Lonchura striata: one gene and its partner. The protein of the gene in region 1 binds, or shares a complex with, the protein of each later gene. Links are inferred from orthologs where the notes say so. Each region holds a gene or a part of one and is shown on either strand. Other genes may lie near its edges. The genes, in order: PRKAA2 and PRKAG1.

Region 1 (10,125 bases):
TATTTGTGGATGAAGCCTAAAAGGTTGATTGCAGGATTGCACAAAAGGGATTAATGCACAGAGAATCTTAGAAATTTTAAAGTTGGAAAAGATCTCTAGGATCATAGAGCCCAACCACAACTATCTGCTTGAAAAATAACCCCCAACCAAACCATCACACTAATCACAGGGCATATAAAAAGATAGGAGGAATTCATTACTGTTACATTCTAATGGGTTGAGAAATCCAATTACTCATTTGTGCCCTTAATAAAATTTTATCCAGAAGTCTCATTCTCATGTAGGAGTAATCCTCTCAGAAATAATATCTTTCTCTTGCTGCTGGTTGGAGTGTTGTGCACCCAGTGCCTGCACAGGCAGGCAGTGTCTCCTCAGCAGCCTCCTCAAGAAATGGGTGTTTATCATGTGCATGCTTAAAATGTTCTATTTTCAATGCAAGAAATTCCAGCCTCCTTCTCCACTCTCATACAGAGTTTTCAGCTCACATCCCCACCAGAGCATCACATATGGCCACACAGATTTTCACCAAACACCAACAAGAGGCCCTAATAGTTTCTGGTTCCACACCAATTACATGTTTTGAATAATGCTGTTTGTTGTTCCATTATATTACACTCACAAGATTGTATTTGAATAACCAATAATTTTAATCACCTCTAGAAAAGTTAATTTCCAACACTGTAGCACAAATGGTTCAACATCTGCTCTTGCCTGCTACATGGGGTTTGATAAATTGCATCACTTACATAATATAAATGGGAATTGCTTGGTTACAAATCTAACGTGCATAAGCTGCCTCTGATGCATGCAGTTTCTCCAACATTCAAAAAATCCAATTTTACGTGTCACAGTTTACCCACTGCTGCATTATCTCATTAACTATCTCCTCCCAAAACAGACTGGAAATGCAAATCCTACTGAAAATCCACAGATTTAGGGCACTTAGAAGGGTTGGATAGCATGCCCCAGAAGTTGAGCTTTTGTGTTAACAGATGCACAGCATCCCTGGCATTTTTTTTGGTCACATTGAAGTGGAAAAATACAGCACCCAGATGTGGTGGCAGGGGCAAGCTGCTGAGGGGGGAGGCTGGACACAACTGGAGATGCTCAGCTGCAAACCCTTCTGAAGGCTCACGATGGTGACTGAAGGCATGTGTTGCAACAGGCAGCACCCAGCTTTTCCTTGGTGCTCTTCAGCATCCTGCTGCTCAGCCCTGCATTTCCAAAAACATTCCCTTTGAATATCCAGTGAAAGCAGTTTGGAGCCTGAGAGGAACACCACCAAACGTGAGCGTGAGCCAAAGACTCTGTGGGAGCTGCAGGGACCCACCCGTGTTTCTCCCAGGACTCCTGCATCCCACAGAAGGGTGCAAAAAAACCCCACATTTTAGCACTCAGACCTATTTTCTCCTGTAAATGCAGCCTGGCAGCAGAGCAGGGAGAGGGAAGGGCCAGGTATTCCATGGCAGCTTTCCCTGTGCCATGGCACAGTCCCTGTCTGTGAGGAGGGTGGACGTGCAGACAGCTGGGATGGGGGGCTCCTGGCTGGCACTGGGGTGAAACGAGGCACAGTCAGCAAAGCAGGAGAGGACAAGCCCTGGCAGGATGTATTTAATAAGCCCAAACCCAGAAAACCCGACTGCTTACTCGCAGTGTCTGAAAAAACAAGAGACAACTGGCCACAAAGGAACCGAAGGCATGTGAGGATGCTCTCCCCTAAAGAGAGACATGTATCCTGCTGCTCAGACAAGGGATTTCTCGATGAGCAGGCAAAAAGAAAATAGGAAAAGAAAAGATTCTCTGAGACTGCAAACACCCAGCCTCCAGCTGGACTGATCACTATGCAGTCTACATTTGATTTGTGTTTTAAATGAGCTGCAACGCTACTACACAAAACAGATCCTTCAGAGATGAATGTAAGCAGGGAGAGGAGATTTCTAGCCTGCTTCACAGTCAAATACCATTTTGTGTGATCTGCACCAAAAATAAAAACGTCACTTTGCCAGACACTGGAGTCTCCATCTCCTAGCAACACGCCCCACCCAGCCTTTTCCTGAGACCCTTCAGCTCCTGCCTGCAGGCACAGCTCCCTTCCCCCGTGTCTGCAAATGAGGAACCCCTGGTACAGATACACACGCATATATGGAGGTTCTCAAAAGCCAGAGGGAAATTAAGCAAACCTTCTCAAGCCTGAGCCCTGGCACTGCTTTCCAGGAGCATCCCGGGCTCTGCTCTCAGCTCTCACCAACACTGCAGAGAGTGGAAGGCACTGACCCACCTTGGGACATCCTTGCTGCCAAGCAAAGGCCTTTCTGTGAGTCTCCTGCAAACCTTAAGGCCCCAAAATACATCCTGTAAGTTAAAAACCTGATTAATATTAATCCGATGTTTCTAATAGACAGCCTCTGTGTGTCAAGAGGCAGTGGAAACACTCACGGCATCAGCTTGCTCTGAGATTTAGTAAAAAATCTCTTTTTCAGCTTTCAGGAAACAAGTAGGACAGTGCATCTCCATGCAGCAGCTCTTGTTAAACATATTAGTTTAGCTATTAAACAAACACCACTCGAGTTCACACCACTTTGTGTGGTGTTGCATTCAGGCAGAGCCAGGGCTTGCCAGGGCTGGAAGGGGAGATCAAACAAACCCCAAAGACAGAGCAGAGCTGCCCAGAGCTTGCAGAGTAGAGACTTGCACGGGCTGACAACTTTGCAGCTGCCTGAAGAAGGCAGAGCTTTCTCAGGCATTCCAGGAGATTGCAGCATTGTATCTTATCCAGAGTTTACTCTTTGTGAACCCTGTTTCTCTTATGCCTTCACGTACATCAATTGTTCTGGTTGAACAGAGACGGTTTCATTATCCTACAAACGGTTTTGTGTTACAGCAACCTTCCTCTTCTACCCCCAGCTTGCTATTTTAGTTATTTATGTTATTGGATTTCTTGAATTAAGTTGCTGTTGTATTATTTATGATAGCACAGTTGCATAGGCTGGTCATTATTTTATCGGGGACCCTGTGTTTACACACACTGCTCCAGCTTCCCAAACAGCCCTTTATTACCTTGGAGCTCAGACTGCATTTGTGACTGCCTTCTGCTACTTCTTGCAGCTGAATGAGAAACAAAGAGCTACAAATTAACACTATTAAAATGTGGCAGGACCACTTTCCAGATATGCTAGGTGCCGATTTTGGTGTTCAGTCATGCTGCCTTTTTTGGCAGAAGCATCCATCCTTTTTCTTTTTCTTTTTTTTTTTTTTTTTTTTAAATGTAAACAATCCATGTGGTCCAGGCAAAGTTTCTGTTATACACAGGAGGGAGAACATCCTGCTTTCACTATTAAATATTCTGGAATTATGGCTGAAAGTGTCCCTTAAGTGCACTTTGTCTCCCAGCCCAAGGCACAGCTGAGCCTCAGAGGGTGCATTTGGAGCCCTGCCCCTCACAGCCAGCATCCCTCCTGTGGGGACGTGCCCTCGGGGCCCAAAGCAGCTCCCCTGGCTGGTGAACAGTGTCACCAGAAGGAGGGACCCACCCAAGGAAGCAGCACCAAAAGCAGGCCATACCCCAAGGACAGTGCCACCCTCTGATGGGCACATCCCTGGGCAGGTGTGGCATCCCTCACAGCAGAGAAGGGCGCACCCCGAGGACACTGTGACCCTCAGGTGGCTGTCACTCCAAGGAGAGTGCCACCAGCACCTCTCTGACGTGTGCCACACAAGCCAGGCACAGCACAAGGAGGGTGTGCATGTCCCCACAGCAGGCAGGTGTACCCCAAGGAGGGAGCAGCCCAAGGGTGGCACCACCCCAGGGAGGGTGTCACTGCACGCAGGGAGGGTGGTCCCCAAGCAGAAGCTGTCACTCCCAGGCAGGTGCATGGAAACTGAAGGTGCACACGGAGGACAGTGCCACCAGAGAGAATGATGTCCCTTGTGGCAGATGCTGCTCCAAAGGGGTGTCACCCCTGGCAGGTGCGTGGCAATAGAGAATGTACCCCAAGTACAGTGTCACTTGGGGGCGGGTGTCACCCCCAGGCAGGTGCCACTCTGAAAGGATGTCACCCCCAGGCAGGTGCACGACAATAGAGAATGTACCCCCCAAACAGTGTCACTCCGGGAAGAGTGTCACCCCTGGCAGATGCCTCTCTGAAAGGATGTCACACGTGGCAGGTGCCTCTCTAAAAGGATGCCATGTCACCCCTGGCAGGTGCACGGCAATAGAGAATGTACCCTCTGAACAGTGTCACTTGGGGCAGATGCCTGTCTAAAAGGATGCCATGCCACCCCCGGCAGGTGTGTGACAACAGAGAATGTACCCCGCAAACAATGTCACTTGGGAAGGGTGTCACCCCCGGCAGATGCCTCTCTAAAAGGATGCCATATCACGCCCAGCAAGTGCTTGGCAATAGAGAATGTACCCCTCAAACAATGTCACTCGGGAAGGGTGTCACCCACGACAGATGCCTCTCTGAAAGGATACCATGTCACCCCCGGCAGGTGTGTGACAATAGAGAATGTACCCTCTGAACAGTTTCACTTGGGGCAGATGCCTGTCTAAAAGGATGCCATGTCACCCCCAGCAGGTGTGTGACAATAGAGAATGTACCCTCTGAACAGTGTCACTTGGGGCAGATGCCTCTCTAAAAGGATGCCATATCACCCGCGGCAGGTGCCTCTCTGAAAGAATGTCACCTCCGGCAGGTGGGTGACAATAGAGAGCGCACCCCGAGTAGAGTGTCACTCGGGGAGGGTGTCACCCCGGCAGGTGCCTCTGAAAGGATGCCACGTCCCGGCCGGCAGGTGCGCGGCAACAGAGCACGCACCCCCGAGCAGCGCCACCCGCGCAGGCCGTCCCGGCGGCAGGTGCCGCCCCGGGGAGCGCCCGGCCGGTGTCCCGGTGTCCCGGCTCCCGGTGTCCCTGTGTCCCGGTGTCCGGGCTCCCGGTGTCCCGGTGTCCCGGCTCCCGGTGTCCCGGCTCCCGGTGTCCCGGTGTCCCGGCTCCCGGTGTCCCGGTGTCCCGGCTCCCGGTGTCCCGGCTCCCGGTGTCCCGGTGTCCCGGTGTCCCGGTGTCCCGGCTCCCGGTGTCCCCGCCCGCACCTGGCGCTCCCCGCCCCCGCCGGCCGGGCCCGCTCCGCTCCGCTCGCTCCGCTCGCCGCGCTCCCCGCCCCGCCGGCCCGGCCCTGTGCATTGTGGTCCGGCGGCGGGGGGCGAACATGGCCGAGAAGCAGAAGCACGATGGGCGGGTGAAGATCGGCCACTACGTGCTGGGGGACACGCTGGGGGTCGGCACCTTCGGCAAAGTCAAGAGCTGAGTACCGCGGCCGCGGGCGGGGCCGGGCCGGGCCGGGTGCGCCCCTCGCCGCCGCCTCCCTCCTCCCGCTCCCGCGGCCTCCGCGCGGCATCGCCTCCCTTCCCCGGGCTGCGCTCCTTTCCCTGGGCTGTGCTGCCTTCCCCGGGCTGTGCTCCTTTCCCCGGGCTGTGCTGCCTTCCCCGGGCTGTGCTCCCTTCGCTGGGCTGCGCTCCCTTCCCCGGGCTGTGCTCCCTTCCCCGGGCTGTGCTCCCTTCCCCGGGCTGCGCTCCTTTCCCCGGGCTGTGCTGCCTTCCCCGGGCTGCGCTCCTTTCCCTGGGCTGTGCTGCCTTCCCCGGGCTGCGCTCCTTTCCCTGGGCTGTGCTGCCTTCCCCGGGCTGCGCTCCCTTCCCTGGGCTCCTCTTCCTTCCCTGGGCTGTGCTGCCTTCCCCGGGCTGCGCTCCCTTCCCTGGGCTGTGCTGCCTTCCCCGGGCTGCGCTCCCTTCCCTGGGCTCCTCTTCCTTCCCTGGGCTGTGCTGCCTTCCCCGGGCTGCGCTCCTTTCCCTGGGCTGTGCTCCCTTCCCCGGGCTGCGCTCCCTTCCCTGGGCTCCTCTTCCTTCCCTCGTTTCCTCTTCCTTCCCTCGGCGGCACACGGGCTGCCCGCGGCGGGGATGCGGCGCTGGCGGGCGGCTGCAGGGAGAGATGCAGCGCTCTCCCCTCGCTGCTCCGGGCTGTCACATCCCCGGGAGCCCGCGCTGCGAGCGGCACCCACCAAAACTTCACGGAGGTGATGGGGAGGCTGGAGCGCGCTCCGGCATCCTGCCCCTCCGTGCCGGGAATGCGCCGCTCCCCGCCGTGCTTCCCGAGGGGCTGCCGTGCTCCGGGGTGCTCCTGGAGCCGGCGGCGGAGGCGCTTGGTGCTGCCGCCCCGCCGAGCATCGCCCCTGCGGATTCCAGCATCCCCCCGCGGAGCTGAGCATCCCCCCGCGGATCCCAGCATCCCCCCGCGGAGCTGAGCATCCCCCCGCGGATCCCAGCATCCCCCCGCAGAGCTGAGCATCCCCCCGCGGATTCCAGCATCCCCCCGCGGAGCTGAGCATCCCCCCGGGGAGCCCAGCATCCCCCCGCAGAGCTGAGCATCCCCCCGGGGAGCCCAGCATCCCCCCGCAGAGCTGAGCATCCCCCCGGGGAGCCCAGCATCCCCCCGCAGAGCTGAGCATCCCCCCGGGGAGCCCAGCATCCCCCCGCAGAGCTGAGCATCCCCCCGGGGAGCCCAGCATCGCCCCGCGGAGCTGAGCATCCCCCCGCGGAGCTGAGCATCCCCCCGCGGAGCTGAGCATCCCCCTGCGGATCCCAGCATCCCCCCGCGGAGCTGAGCATCCCCCGCGGGGATGGAGGGGTCGGGCGGGCAGGGATGAGCCAGCTGTGCCTTCACCCGGGCGAGGGAAGGCTCCAAAGCGACCTGAGAGCACCTTGCAGTGCCTAGAGGGGCTGCAGCAGGGCTGAGAGGGATTTCTGGCCGGGCGTGGAGCGGTGGGGTGACAGGGAATGGATTCGTGCTGACAGAGGGCAGGGTTAGATGGAATATTGGGGAGAAATTGTTCCCAGAGAAGCTGTGGCTGCCCCATCCCTGGAAGTGTCCAAGGCCAGGTTGGAAAGGGCTTGGAGCAAGCTGGGATAGTGGGAGGTGTCCCTGCCCATGGCAGAAGGAGGGATGAGATGAACTTTAAGGTCTCTTCCATCCCAAACCCTTCCAGGATTGCAGGATGAGGGGCTTGTGTCAGGCTGGGGCTCCACACAGGGATTCCTTGGCCAGTCATGCCAGAGCAGCCAGCTCACATCCTGAAGGCTTTGCTTAACCTGGCTGTGAGGTTTGCAAATATTTGTATTTCTTCTTTCCCTGTGGATTCTGCCATTACGTGCAAATTTCATTTTTTAAACGAGATACTAAAAAACTCAGAAAACCAACAGAATTCAGTGTCTAAGCTGTGTTTTCCACTAGGAAATGGGTTTAGGTCGAGCTGGGGGAGCAGCTGTCCCATGCCGTGTCCCCCCACCCCACTGGGATGTGGCTGGGCAAAGGGGTGCTGTGCCTGCCCTCAGTTTCTGGAGCTTTAAAATAAACCCAAATGGACAGCAGATGAAAGAAACCACTACAACCACTGCAGCTAAGTCCACCTGTGGCCATTAATCATGTCCCTAAAATATATATTGCTGTGTTTAATCCCAAACCACAAATTTACTGTCTAAAGAATTATCAGAATAAATACTTCTAACAGTAAGGACCATTTAAATCACTTGTGTGTACTAGCAGACATCAAAACTGCTCCAAAGGCAGGTTTTTTCCTTGCAGACCAATTTAAACCTGCCAACAATAGCCTTTTTTCCCCTTAACTAGCACAAATACCCCCTACCCCACATATGACCTGAATGTGGTAAAAACGGACATTTTCCAAAGAAATATTTCAAGTGACATGAAAGAGATTTTCTAGCTCAAAATCCTTTATAGGTGAGCAGTACCCTTTATATGTTTTTTTTCCCTTAATATTTTGCCTACAACTGACAGATAAAGTTTGTGCTTGAGACTGGGAACCAAAATGAAGAAATGGAGTGTCCCATTTATATAAAATTACAGCATTTTACTAGAATGAGCTTTAGAAAAACTTTTATTCACATGAGAAAAGCAGAGGTTTTTGTTGATTGATTCAAGCATTGTGTGTTGGGTATAATAATTGCTTTTTCAGGGAGAAATCAGGAGCCATCAATGACATCTCTTGTTGCTGATGTGTTTTCTTCAAATTCTGCCTCGCACAAGAGGTTTTGGTTTTGGTGCTTTTTGCTGCCTTACTTGTTGAAGTTAAGAAATCATAATTTACAACTGTTCAGGATTATTGTTATTAGGGAAATAAGAAATGGCAATGAAAGGGAGGATTTAGTGACATGGGGTACAAACCAGAGCTTGAACTCGTGGCTGGAGCTCAGTAGTCATTCTGAGCCATCAGGAGCCAGACAGAAAAAGTCCCTGACTGCCTGGGTCATGGGGGAACTGATGCTCCTAAAAACTGGCTGAACACTGCAAGAAATTGGTTTTTTTTTAAGCCCATTCAGTTTCTTGATGTCATTTACAGAAAATCCACGCAAGGCACGGAGGGGAGCAATGAGGTTGGCAGATAAGGGCAGGGTTTTGGTGCTAATATTTAAATTCCATCTGGAAGTGGGGACGAGGACACAGCATCTCTTAGAAGAGAGGAAGGTGGCAGGAGCTGATGTGGTGGATGGACAGGAGGTGTCATGTCAAGACTTGAAGTTACCACACAGCATTTTTACCAAATACAGTTATTTTCCCTGACCTCCAGGCCAAAGATAAATTGCAGAAAACAGGATTATTCGCAGAAAAAACAATTTCTAATTTGCAGAAAATCAGAATAATTTGCCGAAATAAAACTGTGGAGAAGATCTTGGATTCGGGAGTTTAGCAAAACCTTGGAGGAAGGAGTTGGCATCTCCTTCCCTGGGGGTTGGCAAGAAGAGATGAGACAAATTGTGTTTGCTGTGGGCATGTCCCACCCTGTGGGTCCCCAAAAGCTCTCTGTGACCACAACAAGGTTCACAGTTGGTGCAGCCCAAAGAGCTTAAATCAAAATCCAGCAGAGTAACCCAGATATTTTCTGTGTGTGATGCCACCCCCAGCATCCCTGGGTGCCTTGGTGGCTCCTTTGCCTGGCTTGTTTGCCCAAAAGTGACACATCTGTGGTCCCTCGAGGACTTGGGATGTGTTTGTGTCACCTCCACGGGCTCCAGGATCAGATCCCATTTTTCCCAGGCACTGTAGCATTGCTGCTCCAAGACAAACTTGGTGTCAGAGGGAAGATAAAGTAAAGGAGGCTGAGCAGAGGAAGAGCAGGGAGAGGCTGAGACAGCACAAGCAAGTGGCACCGGGGCAGAATTAATACAGCATTGCTAAATATATGTTTTGGGTGGATTTTATTTTTAACTTTGGGCTGAGATAAGGGCCAGCAGAGCTGATAGGGAAGGAGTTTCCTCACCCCTCCATAAGCTTCTATATTGCCCTGAAGCATTTGCAAAAATGTTAACTGCTTCTGCTGCCTGAGCTGGTAGGATAAAAAAAGTGCTGTAAAAAGCTTTGCTGTCAAGGGGTTTTAATTATTATCTCTGCTCATGGTGCTATAATCACTATTCCTCCTCTTTTTTTTTTTTTTTTTTTTTTTTCTTTTATAAAAATGAGTAAATGTCAAGAGTCTCCACTTTTTGAACCTGGGGAGGCAGTGAGAGGGAAGGAGGTGTCACCACTGCCCACCCTTGGGGTGGGGATCCCCTTCCATGCCTGGGGGAGACCTGGGACCTGCCCCTCACTTTTGGGGTGATGCTGGGCTTCAGAGACAGTGACTCTGTGAGCAGAGGGATTGTTGTCCTTGCTGCCCATGTCTCAATTCCTGCAGCTACAGAGAGCCCTCAAAGGCTTGAAAGTCTCCCACCACATAGGAAATTGTGTTCCCTCTTTGTCTCTCTCTCACCGAGTTCAAGGAGGCTTAACAAGTCACTGGGGACAGAAACAATAATATCTCTGTATCTAATGCTTACTGTAAGCAAAAGATGGATTACAAAATAGGCTGTTTATTTTTAATTATTAATGTGTTTGTGCTAGCAAACCTTTGCAGAGTTACACATTGTTTGTCACGGATGGGAAAGGGGATGAACTGTTTGGCAATAGTATTAAAAACAATAATTATTCATTCTGGGCATGGCCATTTTTTTTTTCCCCCTAGTGTATAATAAAAAATTTTCAAAGAGTATGCTGGTGCAAGCCAGAAAGCCTTTCTCCTG
Region 2 (10,987 bases), on another chromosome or scaffold:
ACCTAGAACCTCAATGGGGTGATGGTGGCCATGGCCGAGCTGCTGAGCATGAAGATCCCCAGCTCCTATGAGGTGCTGTTCCCCGACGGCCCTGTGCGAGCAGCTGTGGTTGAGGCCAAGAAGGTGGAGACCGATATGGCTGGTGAGTGTTCACCTTGTCCCCGTGGCCCCCCGTGTCCCCAGACTGGGACCCCCATGACGGATGGTCCATCCCTCTCCCAGGAATGCTCGGAGGGAAGGAGAAGGCGCTGGCTGGGAAGGTGCCGGACAGCAGCTCTGAGTGGCTGAAGCAGTTCGATGCGGTGCTGCCAGGGTACAGCCTCAAGGGCGAGCTGGACCTCCTGACGCTGCTCAGACAGGTCAGTGGGCGTGCAGGGGTCCCTGCGGTGCTGGTAGACTGGGAGGGGGTTTTGGGGTACCCACAGGGCTGTGGCTGTGTGGGGGTACAGGAGCAGGGACTCTGTGTGTGTGGTGGTCCCTGTGGGTCACCCCATGACTGCACGGCGTTTCCTGGGGGTTCAGGTCTCCCCATGGGCTGGTGCTGGGTCTTGCAGGAAGGAGTCCAGGAGGTCCTTGCAGGACTCGGGCCATGTGGCATGCTGATGTCCCTGCTGGGCCAAGGACCCCTCCCTGCGATGCTCAAGGAGGTTGGGGGGGGTCTCCATCCCTCCAACGCTCTGACCCGTGTCCCCTCCCCGTGCCGCAGGAGAGCCCTGCTCCTGAGAAGACCCTTCACCACTGCTACGTCAACAACGTCTCCAACCTGGATGTGCGGCAGCTCTCTGTCCTGCCCCAGGAGCCCTCGCCCCCGCTGTCCCCCTCCGTTCCCTCCCCGTCCAGCCCCGCTGAGCCCACCAGGGTCCCCGACCCTGAGGCGTCCCACGAGGCAGCCCCAGTCCCATTGTCACCACTGCCACCGGCCCCCTCGCCAGCCCCCCAGGAGGAGGGGGCTGCGGCCGTCCACTCGCCGCCCCGTTTCAAGCCGCGATCTCGGCCTCTGGAGGACGGGGACGAGGCGAGGCCACGGCTGAAGAAGTGGAAGGGGGTGCGCTGGAAACGGCTGCGCTTCCTCGTCACCATCCAGAAAGGGGGAGCCAAGCGTGACGGCGACAAGGAGATCGCCGAGTTCATCGACAAGCTGGGAACCACACTGCGCCCCGAGAAGGTGCCGCAGGACATGCGCAAGTGCTGCTTCTGTCACGAGGAGGGCGACGGGGCCACGGACGGGCCGGCCCGCCTACTCAACCTTGACCTCGACCTCTGGGTCCACCTGAACTGTGCCCTGTGGTCCACGGAGGTGTATGAGACTCAGGGAGGGGCCCTGATCAACGTGGAGGTGGCCCTGCACCGTGGGCTGCTCACCAAGTGCTCCCTGTGCCAGAAAACCGGTGCCACCAACAGCTGCAACCGCATCCGCTGCCCCAGCGTGTACCACTTCGCCTGCGCCATCCGCGCCAAGTGCATGTTCTTCAAGGACAAGACCATGCTGTGTCCCCTGCACAAGCTGAAGGGGCCCTGCGAGCAGGAGCTCAGCAGCTTCACCGTGTTCCGCCGCGTCTACATCGAGCGGGACGAGGTGAAGCAGATCGCCAGCATCATCCAGCGTGGGGAGCGGCTCCACATGTTCCGTGTGGGCGGCTTGGTCTTCCACGCCATCGGGCAGCTCCTGCCACACCAGATGGCCGATTTCCACAGCGTCACGGCCCTCTACCCTGTGGGCTACGAGGCCACGCGCATCTACTGGAGCCTGCGGACCAACAACCGCCGCTGCTGCTACCGCTGCACCATCTGCGAGAACAACGGGCGCCCCGAGTTCGTCGTGCAGGTCATCGAGCAGGGCCTGGAGGATCTTGTCTTCTCTGACTCCTCGCCTCAAGGTGAGGAGTTGGGATATGCCAGCGTCCAACCTTTGTCCCAGTGGCTGAGCCACGCCAGAGCACACCAGAGGGTGGGGCATGGAAGGTGGCTTGAGGCTCCCCCTGGGTCCCCATCTTCAGCTCATGGCACTCGGAGCTCTGCTCTGGTGACAAGGTGGTGATCGGTCACTTGGGCTCAATGATCTTGGAGGTCTTTTCCAGCCTAATTAATTCTGTGGTTCTCCCTTCCCTTGGCAGCTGTCTGGAACCGGATCATCGAGCCAGTAGCGATGATGAGGAAGGAGGCTGACATGCTGCGACTCTTCCCCGAGTACCTGAAGGGTGAGGAGCTCTTCGGCCTCACGGTGCACGCAGTGCTGCGCATCGCTGAGTCGGTAGGTGCCAGGGTGGGTGTGGAGGTGTCTCCTCCATCCTGGGGTCCACCCTGCTGGGGAAGGGCCCAGTGGCTCTTGCTGCTGCCTCTTGACCTCCGGTCCTTCCACGTCCCCCTCTGCAGCTGCCGGGTGTCGAGAGCTGCCAGAACTACCTGTTCCGCTACGGGCGCCATCCTCTGATGGAGCTGCCCTTGATGATCAATCCCACCGGCTGCGCCCGCTCCGAGCCCAAGATCCTCACCCACTACAAGCGGTAAGTGGGGTCGGAATTCACCGGACCCACCAGGGGAGCTGGGATCCCTGGGCATCTCTCAACTCTAACCCTTCTCCCCCTCCCGTGAAAGGCCCCACACCCTGAACAGCACAAGCATGTCCAAGGCCTACCAGAGCACGTTCACGGGCGAGACCAACACGCCCTACAGCAAGCAGTTTGTGCACTCCAAGTCCTCCCAGTACCGGCGCCTGAAGACGGAGTGGAAGAACAACGTGTACCTGGCACGGTCCCGCATCCAGGGGCTGGGGCTCTACGCAGCCAAGGACATCGAGAAGCACACGATGGTCATCGAGTACATCGGCACCATCATCCGCAACGAGGTGGCCAACCGGCGGGAGAAGATCTACGAGGAGCAGGTGAGGCTCTGCTGGGGTTCTGGGGGCTTGTGTGGGGACTTGGGCAAGGTGTGGAGAGACTTGGGTGGGACATTGTGGGCTCTGGTGGGACATGGAGGGACTTTGAGAAGGAAATGGGGGAGTCAGATGAGAAGCTGGGGCCTTGAGTGGGATGTGGGTGGCCTTGGGTGAGATGTTGAAGGCTCTGGCAGGACATGAGGGGACTCAGAATGTGGAGGGATATCAAGGGTTCTGGTGGGACATGGACGGTCTCGGGTGGGTTGTTGGAAGCTCTGGTAGGACATGGAGCGACTCAGGTGGGATGTGGAGGGACTCGTATGGGATTTGAGGGTCTCCAGTGGGACATGGGATGGTGGACATCAACTCGGATGGGATATGGGGACCTCAGTGCACCCCTGAACCCCCTCTTCTCCTCCGTGGCAGAACCGCGGCATTTACATGTTCCGCATCAACAACGAGCACGTCATTGACGCCACGCTGACAGGGGGCCCGGCCAGGTGAGCACGGGGGGCTTTGGGGTGGTGGGATACCGCCAGAGGAAGCCATGACGTCTGTCTGTCCTGCCCCCGGGTTGGGGCTGACCCCGCTGGTCCCCCAGGTACATCAACCACTCGTGTGCCCCGAACTGTGTGGCCGAAGTCGTGACCTTCGACAAGGAGGACAAGATCATCATCATCTCCAGCCGGCGCATCCCCAAGGGGGAGGAGGTCAGTGAGGGACTGAGGGGGTGCTGAGGGGGGTCCTGGGGGTCCCAGGGAGGGGGGCTGGAGGTGGCAGAACTGAGCTCTGTGCTTTGGGTGACTCCCCGCTCCCTCCCAGCTCACCTACGACTACCAGTTCGACTTCGAGGACGATCAGCACAAGATCCCCTGCCACTGTGGAGCTTGGAATTGCAGGAAGTGGATGAACTAACTGGGAAAAAGGGGCTGGGGGCTGCCACCCCCGCCTCAGAGACCTCGCCGAGCCCCCCAGGGCTGCAGGAGGTGCCAGGGGCGGCCGGGCACTGAGGGAGAGCAGCGGCCGCGGAGCTGCCGGCCCTGCCCGAGCGGGACGGACGGACAGATGAACTGGCAACTCAGGGTTTTCTTTGCTTCGTCCTGCGAGGAGAAAAAAGGAGTGGGGGGGCTCAGAAACGCCCCCTTCACCACCCCCTGCCTGCCTCCCTCGTGGGAGAGCTGTGGGGGAGCAGCGCCAGGCCCAGCGCGGCCGGAGCGATTGTGCAGAGCCGGTCTGGATATAACGATTATTTTATTTTATTTTATTTTGGTTTCTTTTTTTTTTTTTTGATTTTCCTTTTAAGTTTCTTTTTTTTTTTTTTTTGGTTTTTTTTTTTTTTTAGAAACTAATGATATTTGCTCGCTAATTACCAAGGTAACACAGACTCCTTGAGCTCGACAATCCGGGCTCTGCCCCGCCGGCGTGGCGGCCAGAGCTTGCTCGGTTCCTTTGATCTCTTTTTGTTTGTGCGTGTGGACGAGACCCCGGAGCGGCGGCGGGATGCAGCCAAGACCCCGACAGACACAAGGAGCTTCTGCACCCAAACCTACCTCATTTTAAGTGTTAGATTCGTTTCTTTTTATTTGTTGTTGTTTTTAAATGTGAGCCCCCCCCCCATCCCAACCTGCCCCCCACCCCCCCTAAGCGGGGGGGGTCTTTCCCTCTCCCTTGGGCTCCAGAGGATGTGGCTTCCCCGTGTCCCCCTCCTCATTTGTGGCCCTCCATCAGGACGCCTTGAAGGGGGGACACAGGGACACCCCCTCCTTGTCCCCCCCCTCAGGAGGTCCCAGCCGTGTGCCAAGGTGTGAGGTGGGGATGGGGGCAGGGCGAGGGGCAAGACCCGCTCCCCCAGCTCTGGTGGGGGGCTGGAGGGGCTGGGTGGGGACCCCTCCTTCCCACACGTGGCCCCCACGGCTGGAGGGGCCGGGTGGAGCCCCCCCTGCTCACCCTTGGCCCCCACGGCTGGGGCTGCACTTGGGGGGGAAGGTTATTTATCTATTTATACCTTATATTGTATATACTAGACGGGGCTGGGGTGGGGGGCTCTTTGTGCTCTGCTGGGCTGAGATTTGGGGTGCAGGGGCAAAAATGTTTGTGGGGGGGTTTTTTTTAAAACCCAGTCTCCGAGGTGGGGGTGGGGAGGGGGGGGGTCTCTCTGGAACCTCCTGCCAGGCAGGGGCGGCCTCGGAGAGCGAAGCAGCGAGTGGGCATTAACACCCCCGGCCCCCCACCCACCCCGTGCCGGCTGCGGCCCCCCCGGGGTCCCCTCCCGCCCCTCCCCACTCCGGGGGAGGACCCCGGGGGGCGCCGGGATCTCCTAACGCACAAACACGGCGCGGGGAAGGGAGGAAGGGCGAGAGGGACCCTCCTGCTCCTGGAAGTTTGGGGAGGGGGTCTGGCGGGGGTGGTGCCCCCTCCCCGCCCCGGCGCAGTGGGGGCCGGGGCCGATCTTGAAAAGCTGCTTCCGCAAACTCGTCAAAGCTGCAAAAAATAAAAAAAAAAACACAAAAAAAAAACCCGAAACAAAATAAACAAAAAAAAAAGGTTTAAGGTAAAAAATCTTTAAAAAAAAGAAAATTAAAAAAGAAAAAAAAATGGAGCAAAAGCGCGAGTGGGGGGGATGAGAAAGTTTTAACAGAAAATATACGAGAAATTTAACTTTCAGAGCTGTACATAGGCCGGGGCGTGTAGAAATCCCGTTTTTACCAATACCGGAACCACTGGATGTTATTTTAAATAAAGCGCGTGAGAAGCCGAGGCCGCCTGATCCCTCCTTGGGGAGCTCGGGGTGGGGGTCTGGGGGGCACAGCGGTGACAAGGGCTTGGTCGAGGACAGCTCGCTGCTGCTCTGCTCCTTCCTGTCCCCACAAGGTCTCTGACCCACCCTCGCCGTGTCCCCCTCCCCCCAAAACCAGTGACCCTCCCCTGGGCTACCCCGAGCTGGCAACTGGCAACTCGGGGTTTTCTTTCCGGATATCCTGGAGTTAGGGGTGCCCCGGAGTTAGGGGTGTCCCAGAACCCGGAGCTGGGTGCCAAAGGATTTGGGATGCCCCATGAGTGGGGATATCCTGGAGTTAGGGGTGTCCCAGAGCCCCAAGCTGGGTGTCCCAGGATTTGGGGTGCTCCATGACTGGGGATATCCTGGAGTTAGGGGTGTCCTGGAGCCCCAAGCTGGGTGTCCCAGGATTTGGGGTGCTCCATGACTGGGGATATCTTGGAGTTAGGGGTGTCCCGGAGCTCTGAGCTGGGTGTGGCGAGATTTGGGATGCCCCATGAGTGGGGATATCTCTGAGTCAGGGGTGTCCCCGATTTAGGGGTGTTCCTGGAGCCCCAAGCTGGGTGTCAAAGGATTTGGGGTGCTCTATGAGTGGGGATATCCCGGAGTTAGGGGTGTCCCGGACCCCCGAGCTGGGTGTCCCGGAATTGGGAGTGAAACGGGACTCGGGGTACTGGAGGCTTTGCGGGGTCCCGGGGACCCCCACGTTTGTCACAACCCCCGCTCCTTTCCCGGGGGCTCCGTGTCCGTGTCCCCCTGCCCCGGGCCATCCCCAGGTGTGTCCCGCCGTGTCCCCAAACCCCCAAACACGTGTGAGACCCCCCAGCCCCAAAAAAACCTTCCCCGTGACCCGGCGGGAGGGGAAGGGCTCCGGGCGGCCGGGAGTCAGCGAGCGGTGCCAGCAGGGCCGGGAACGGAACCGGGACCGGAGCCGGAGTGGTTCCGAGAACCGGGCGGAGGTGGGACTGGGAACAGGGCCGAAGCGGGACCGGGAACCGGGCGGAAACTGGGGCAGGAACCGGGCGGAAGCGGGGCATGAACGGGGACAGGAACCGGGCGGAAGAGGGGCACGATCCGGGACAGGAACGCGGGCAGGAACCGGGCGGAAGCGGGGCACGATCCGGGACAGGAACCGGGCGGAAGCGGGACAGGAACGCGGGCAGGAACCGGGCGGAAGCGGGGCACGATCCGGGACAGGAACCGGGCGGAAGCGGGAGCAGGAACCGGGACAGGAACCGGGCGAACGCGGGAGCAGGAACCGGGACAGGAACCGGCGCAGCGGCGCCTCGGGACGGAGCGGGACCCATGGAGGTTGTGGGAGGGACGGCGGGCCCGGGGGGGACACGGGGGATCGCGGCCGGGACCGCGGCCACGTCTGACCCGGCCCCGTCTGTCCGCAGGATCCCGGCCCCGAGCCTGACCCCGGCCCCGGCCCCGGCCCGGCCGCCGAGAGCCCGGCGGAGCGGAGCGCCCCGGGGCTGGAAGGTGATTCCGAGGGAGCCCGGGGGGTCCCGGCATGCGGGAGGAGACCCGGGGGTCGTTTGGGTGTCCCAAGGGCTGCAGCTGCTGGGGGGTTCTGTCCTGGAGTGGGGGGCATCCGGAGCTGGGTGTGGCAAGATTTGGGATGCGCCATGAGTGGGGATATCCTGGAGTTAGGGGTGTCCCCGAGTTAGGGGTGTCCCGGAGCCCTGGGCTGGGTGCCAAAGGATTTGGGGTGCTCCATGAGTGGGGATATCCCGGAGTTAGGGGTGTCCCGGAGCCCCAAGCTGGGTGTGGCAGGATTTGGGATGCCCCATGAGTGGGGATATCCCGGAGTTAGGGGTGTCCCCGAGTTAGGGGTGTCCCGGAGCCCTGAGCTGGGTGCCAAAGGATTTGGGGTGCTCCATGAGTGGGGATATCCTGGAGTTAGGGGTGTCCCAGAGTTAGGGGTGTCCCGGAGCCCTGAGCTGGGTGCCAAAGGATTTGGGGTGCTCCATGAGTGGGGATATCCCGGAGTTACGGGTGTCCCAGAGTTAGGGGTGTCCGAGAGCCCCGAGCTGGATGTCCCGGAATTTGGAGTGAAACGGGACTTGGGGCATTTGAGGCTTTGCGGTGTCCCGGGATTTGGGGTATCCTGGGTATTGGTGCATCATGGGATTTGGGGAGTCTGGGACTGGGGGTGTCCCGGAATTGGGGATGTCCCGGGTTTTGGGGTGCTCCAGGTTTTGGGGTGCCCCCTGACGCTGCCACCCCAGGGGACACTCACCGCGGTGCCTACACCGCCTTCATGAAATCCCATCGCTGCTACGACCTGATCCCCACCAGCTCCAAACTGGTCGTCTTCGACACATCCCTGCAGGTGTGCCAGGGCCGGGGGGACACTTTTGGGGCCAGGGAGGCACTTTTGGGGCTCCCTGACCCCCGTGCCTGCAGGTGAAGAAGGCGTTCTTTGCGCTGGTCACCAACGGTGTCCGGGCAGCCCCGCTCTGGGACAGCAAAAAGCAAAGTTTTGTAGGTGAGTGAGGGGTCCGGGGGTCTCTGGGGGCTGAGGGGGGCTGGCAGGACTCTCCTCACCCTGCCTGCCCCCCAGGGATGCTGACCATCACCGACTTCATCAACATCCTGCACCGCTACTACAAATCCCCCATGGTGAGTGCTGGGGTCTACCGGGGGCTCAGGTCGGGCTCTGCCTGCCCCACCTGGCCCTGGGTGGGTGATCTGGGTTTCTCCTCCTCCTCACAGGTGCAGATCTATGAGCTGGAGGAACATAAAATAGAGACATGGAGAGGTGAGGGGGTTCACTGCTGGCTGCCTCCTGCCCTTCCCGGCATAGCCGGAGCCCCCCAGGGCTGTGCCCCACCCCCCCATCCCCTCACCCACCCCTCTCCCCACAGAGGTTTATCTGCAAGACTCCTTCAAGCCACTGGTCTGCATTTCCCCCAATGCCAGGTACCCCGGGGGGCAGGGAGAGGGGCACAGCTGGTGGTGGCACCCCGAGGAACACCCCAAATCCCCCCTCCCTTCCCCCCCCACAGCCTGTTTGACGCCGTCTCCTCCCTGATCCGGAACAAGATCCATCGCCTGCCTGTCATCGACCCCGACTCGGGGAACACGCTCTACATCCTCACCCACAAACGCATCCTCAAGTTCCTCAAGCTCTTTGTAAGTCTCTGCCCCTTGGTGATGGTGGGGGCCAGACCAGGACGTTCACCCTGCGCTGCACCAGGGGCCACCCTGAGCCTCTCAGCCCAGGCTGTGCCAGAGGTTGCCCCAGGACCCCCATCCTGGGCTGTGCCAGGTCCTTGAGCCTTGTGCTACCCTGGGACTCCCAGTCCGGGCTGTACAAAGTGCCAGGTCCCTGTGCCAGGGGCTGCCCTGAGACCCCCATCTCAGGCTGAGCCAAAAGCTGCCCCAGAACCTTTGGCTGCTTCAGGGCTCACTGAAACCCCCATCCTGGGTTGTGCAGGTCCTGCACACCGGCCACCACCAGCTCTGGGTGGGCACAGCTCTGGTACCACACACTGCAGTGCCAGAGGACCCCCAGGACCCTCCCCACCGCCCCTGCCTGGGGGTCCCACAACCCCCCCTGCTCTGCACCCCAGCTCTTTCTGCTTTCACCCCCAGGCCTGGGCTCAGCGCCGTCCCCTCGCTGTCCCCGCAGATCGCAGAGGTGCCCAAGCCTGAGTTCATGGCGCGGACGTTGGAGGAGCTGCGGATCGGCACCTACAGCAACATCGCCGTGGTTGGCACCAGCACCCCCATCTACGTGGCCCTGGGCATCTTCGTGCAGCACCGCGTCTCCGCGCTGCCCGTGGTCGATGACTCGGGTAAGGACGTCCCGTCCTCGCTTTGGCTGTCCCCAAGTGACCTCTTTGGGGGCCGTGTCCCCTCCACAGCGCCGGGGGCTTGGCTGAGCTCCTCCCCTCCCTCCCCAGGGCGCGTGGTGGACATCTACTCTAAATTCGACGTTATTGTGAGTACTGTTTGGGGAAAATCCCGGGCTGGGGGGGACGCTGTGGGGTGTTGGGGGTGTTCTAACCCCAGCTGTGTCCCCAATGCTTGTCCCTGCCCCAGAACCTGGCAGCTGAAAAGACCTACAACAACCTGGACGTGACGGTGACGCGGGCGCTGCAGCACCGCTCCCACTATTTCGAGGGCGTCCTCAAGTGTTACAAGCACGAGACGCTGGAAACCATCATCAACCGCCTAGTCGAGGCCGAGGTAACTGTCCCGGGGTGCTGGGGGGTCGTGGTGGGTGGAGGCCGGGGTCCCTGCACCCCCTCAGCCCCTCTCTGTGTTCCCCCTCCCCAGGTCCACCGGCTGGTGGTGGTGGATGAGAGTGATGTGGTTAAAGGGATCGTCTCCCTCTCGGACATCCTGCAAGCCCTGGTCCTCCCACAGGGCCCCTGAGGCAGTGAGGGAGGGGGGTTCAGTCCTCCCAAGCCCCCCCAACTCTCTTCTGTAACACTGTGCCCCCCCCGGGCTGCTGGGGACACCCAGGGAATGCCCCCGCTCACCAGCAGCATCCAGCAATAACCCCCAGCCCTGGGGCAGCCCCTGCTGCCCTTCCCTGGGTGGGGGGAGCCTGCAGACCCCCCCCCATGCCGTGCCCAGCACCCCAAAGCCGTGAGGGTGATTGGGGGCAGCCCTCGAACCCCGTGGGGTGCCAGGCCAGGGTCACCCATAGCCATGCCAGGGCTGTTCCCGTGTGGCCTCTCGTCCCTGTCACCCTGCACCCTCTCCCTGGGTTTGGTGAAACCCACTCAGCTCCACCCGGCCTGGGGACCCCCCCACGCCCCCGGGGGTTTCCCCCCAGGTTCCCCCGGCTGTGCCCACACCCGCCACTGCTTCGTGTGCGAGGAGAAACCACGAATAAACACAGACCTGGCACCACCCTGGCTCCGTGTGGGGCACGGGGAGCACTGCCCGGGGACGGGGTGTGTGGGAGGGGGTGTGACCACCCCGTGGGAAGGGGGAATCTGCTGAGCTCGCCCAGACCCTAAATCCCTGTTTGTTACGCCTGTGGCTTTTCTAAAAGGCCAGGACTGGGGATGGGACAGGGACAGGGACCTGGCAGGACATGGGGACTCTCTGGTGGGCACCAAGGTGAGCAGGGGGCAGTCAGGCAGGGGCTGGGGGAGGTTGAGGGGGGATCTGGATGTTCGGCTGCCGTGGGGGGCCGGCGGGGGTCGCAGGCAGCCGGGACACCGGAGTTTGCAGCCGGTGTCCGCAGGGGAGGTGCGAGGCCTGGCCGTGCTGAGCGAGGCACATTCCTGGCGGGAAGGGGACGGCCGGCCCGGGGACCCTGTCCGTGCCAGTCCCGGGCTCCGGCAGAGGCCGCGGAGCGAGGTGAG

Evidence for each region.
Region 2: the proteins of PRKAA2 (region 1) and PRKAG1 are in contact, whole or in part, in a crystal structure (PDB 6B1U), measured with the Homo sapiens proteins. The link is inferred for Lonchura striata from reciprocal best matches to the Homo sapiens genes PRKAA2 and PRKAG1. Residues at the interface, in NP_006243.2 of Homo sapiens: Asp329, Asn330, Ile333, Met334, Ala337, Phe340, Tyr341, Leu342, His366, Pro367, Glu368, Arg369, Met370, Pro371, Pro372, Leu373, Ile374, Asn444, Val446, Thr447, Pro530, Arg531, Leu532, Gly533, Ser534, His535, Thr536, Met537, Asp538, Glu541; in NP_002724.1 of Homo sapiens: His36, Asp40, Leu41, Ile42, Pro43, Thr44, Ser45, Val50, Phe62, Leu64, Val65, Thr66, Gly68, Val69, Arg70, Trp75, Ser77, Lys78, Lys79, Gln80, Phe82, Pro158, Glu159, Ser160, Gly161, Asn162, Lys170, Arg171, Lys174, Phe175.

Annotation. Positions count from the first base shown.
Region 1 is NC_134611.1:8,260,604-8,270,728, reverse strand, and holds the start of PRKAA2 (5'-AMP-activated protein kinase catalytic subunit alpha-2), read left to right. Parts: upstream 1-5,162; 5' UTR 5,163-5,207; coding exon 5,208-5,301; intron 5,302-10,125. UniProt on the Homo sapiens protein: Catalytic subunit of AMP-activated protein kinase (AMPK), an energy sensor protein kinase that plays a key role in regulating cellular energy metabolism.
Region 2 is NC_134629.1:6,052,143-6,063,129, forward strand, and holds PRKAG1 (5'-AMP-activated protein kinase subunit gamma-1), read left to right. Parts: upstream 1-6,942; 5' UTR 6,943-6,959; coding exon 6,960-6,965; intron 6,966-7,054; coding exon 7,055-7,139; intron 7,140-7,888; coding exon 7,889-7,992; intron 7,993-8,066; coding exon 8,067-8,148; intron 8,149-8,223; coding exon 8,224-8,282; intron 8,283-8,375; coding exon 8,376-8,421; intron 8,422-8,527; coding exon 8,528-8,582; intron 8,583-8,668; coding exon of another isoform or gene 8,669-8,705; coding exon 8,706-8,795; intron 8,796-9,257; coding exon 9,258-9,460; intron 9,461-9,568; coding exon 9,569-9,606; intron 9,607-9,707; coding exon 9,708-9,854; intron 9,855-9,944; coding exon 9,945-10,043; 3' UTR 10,044-10,526; downstream 10,527-10,987. Other genes in the region: KMT2D (histone-lysine N-methyltransferase 2D), read left to right, coding at 7-142, 223-359, 707-1,877, 2,115-2,251, 2,374-2,504, 2,596-2,881, 3,305-3,378, 3,480-3,588 and 1 more. UniProt on the Homo sapiens protein: AMP/ATP-binding subunit of AMP-activated protein kinase (AMPK), an energy sensor protein kinase that plays a key role in regulating cellular energy metabolism.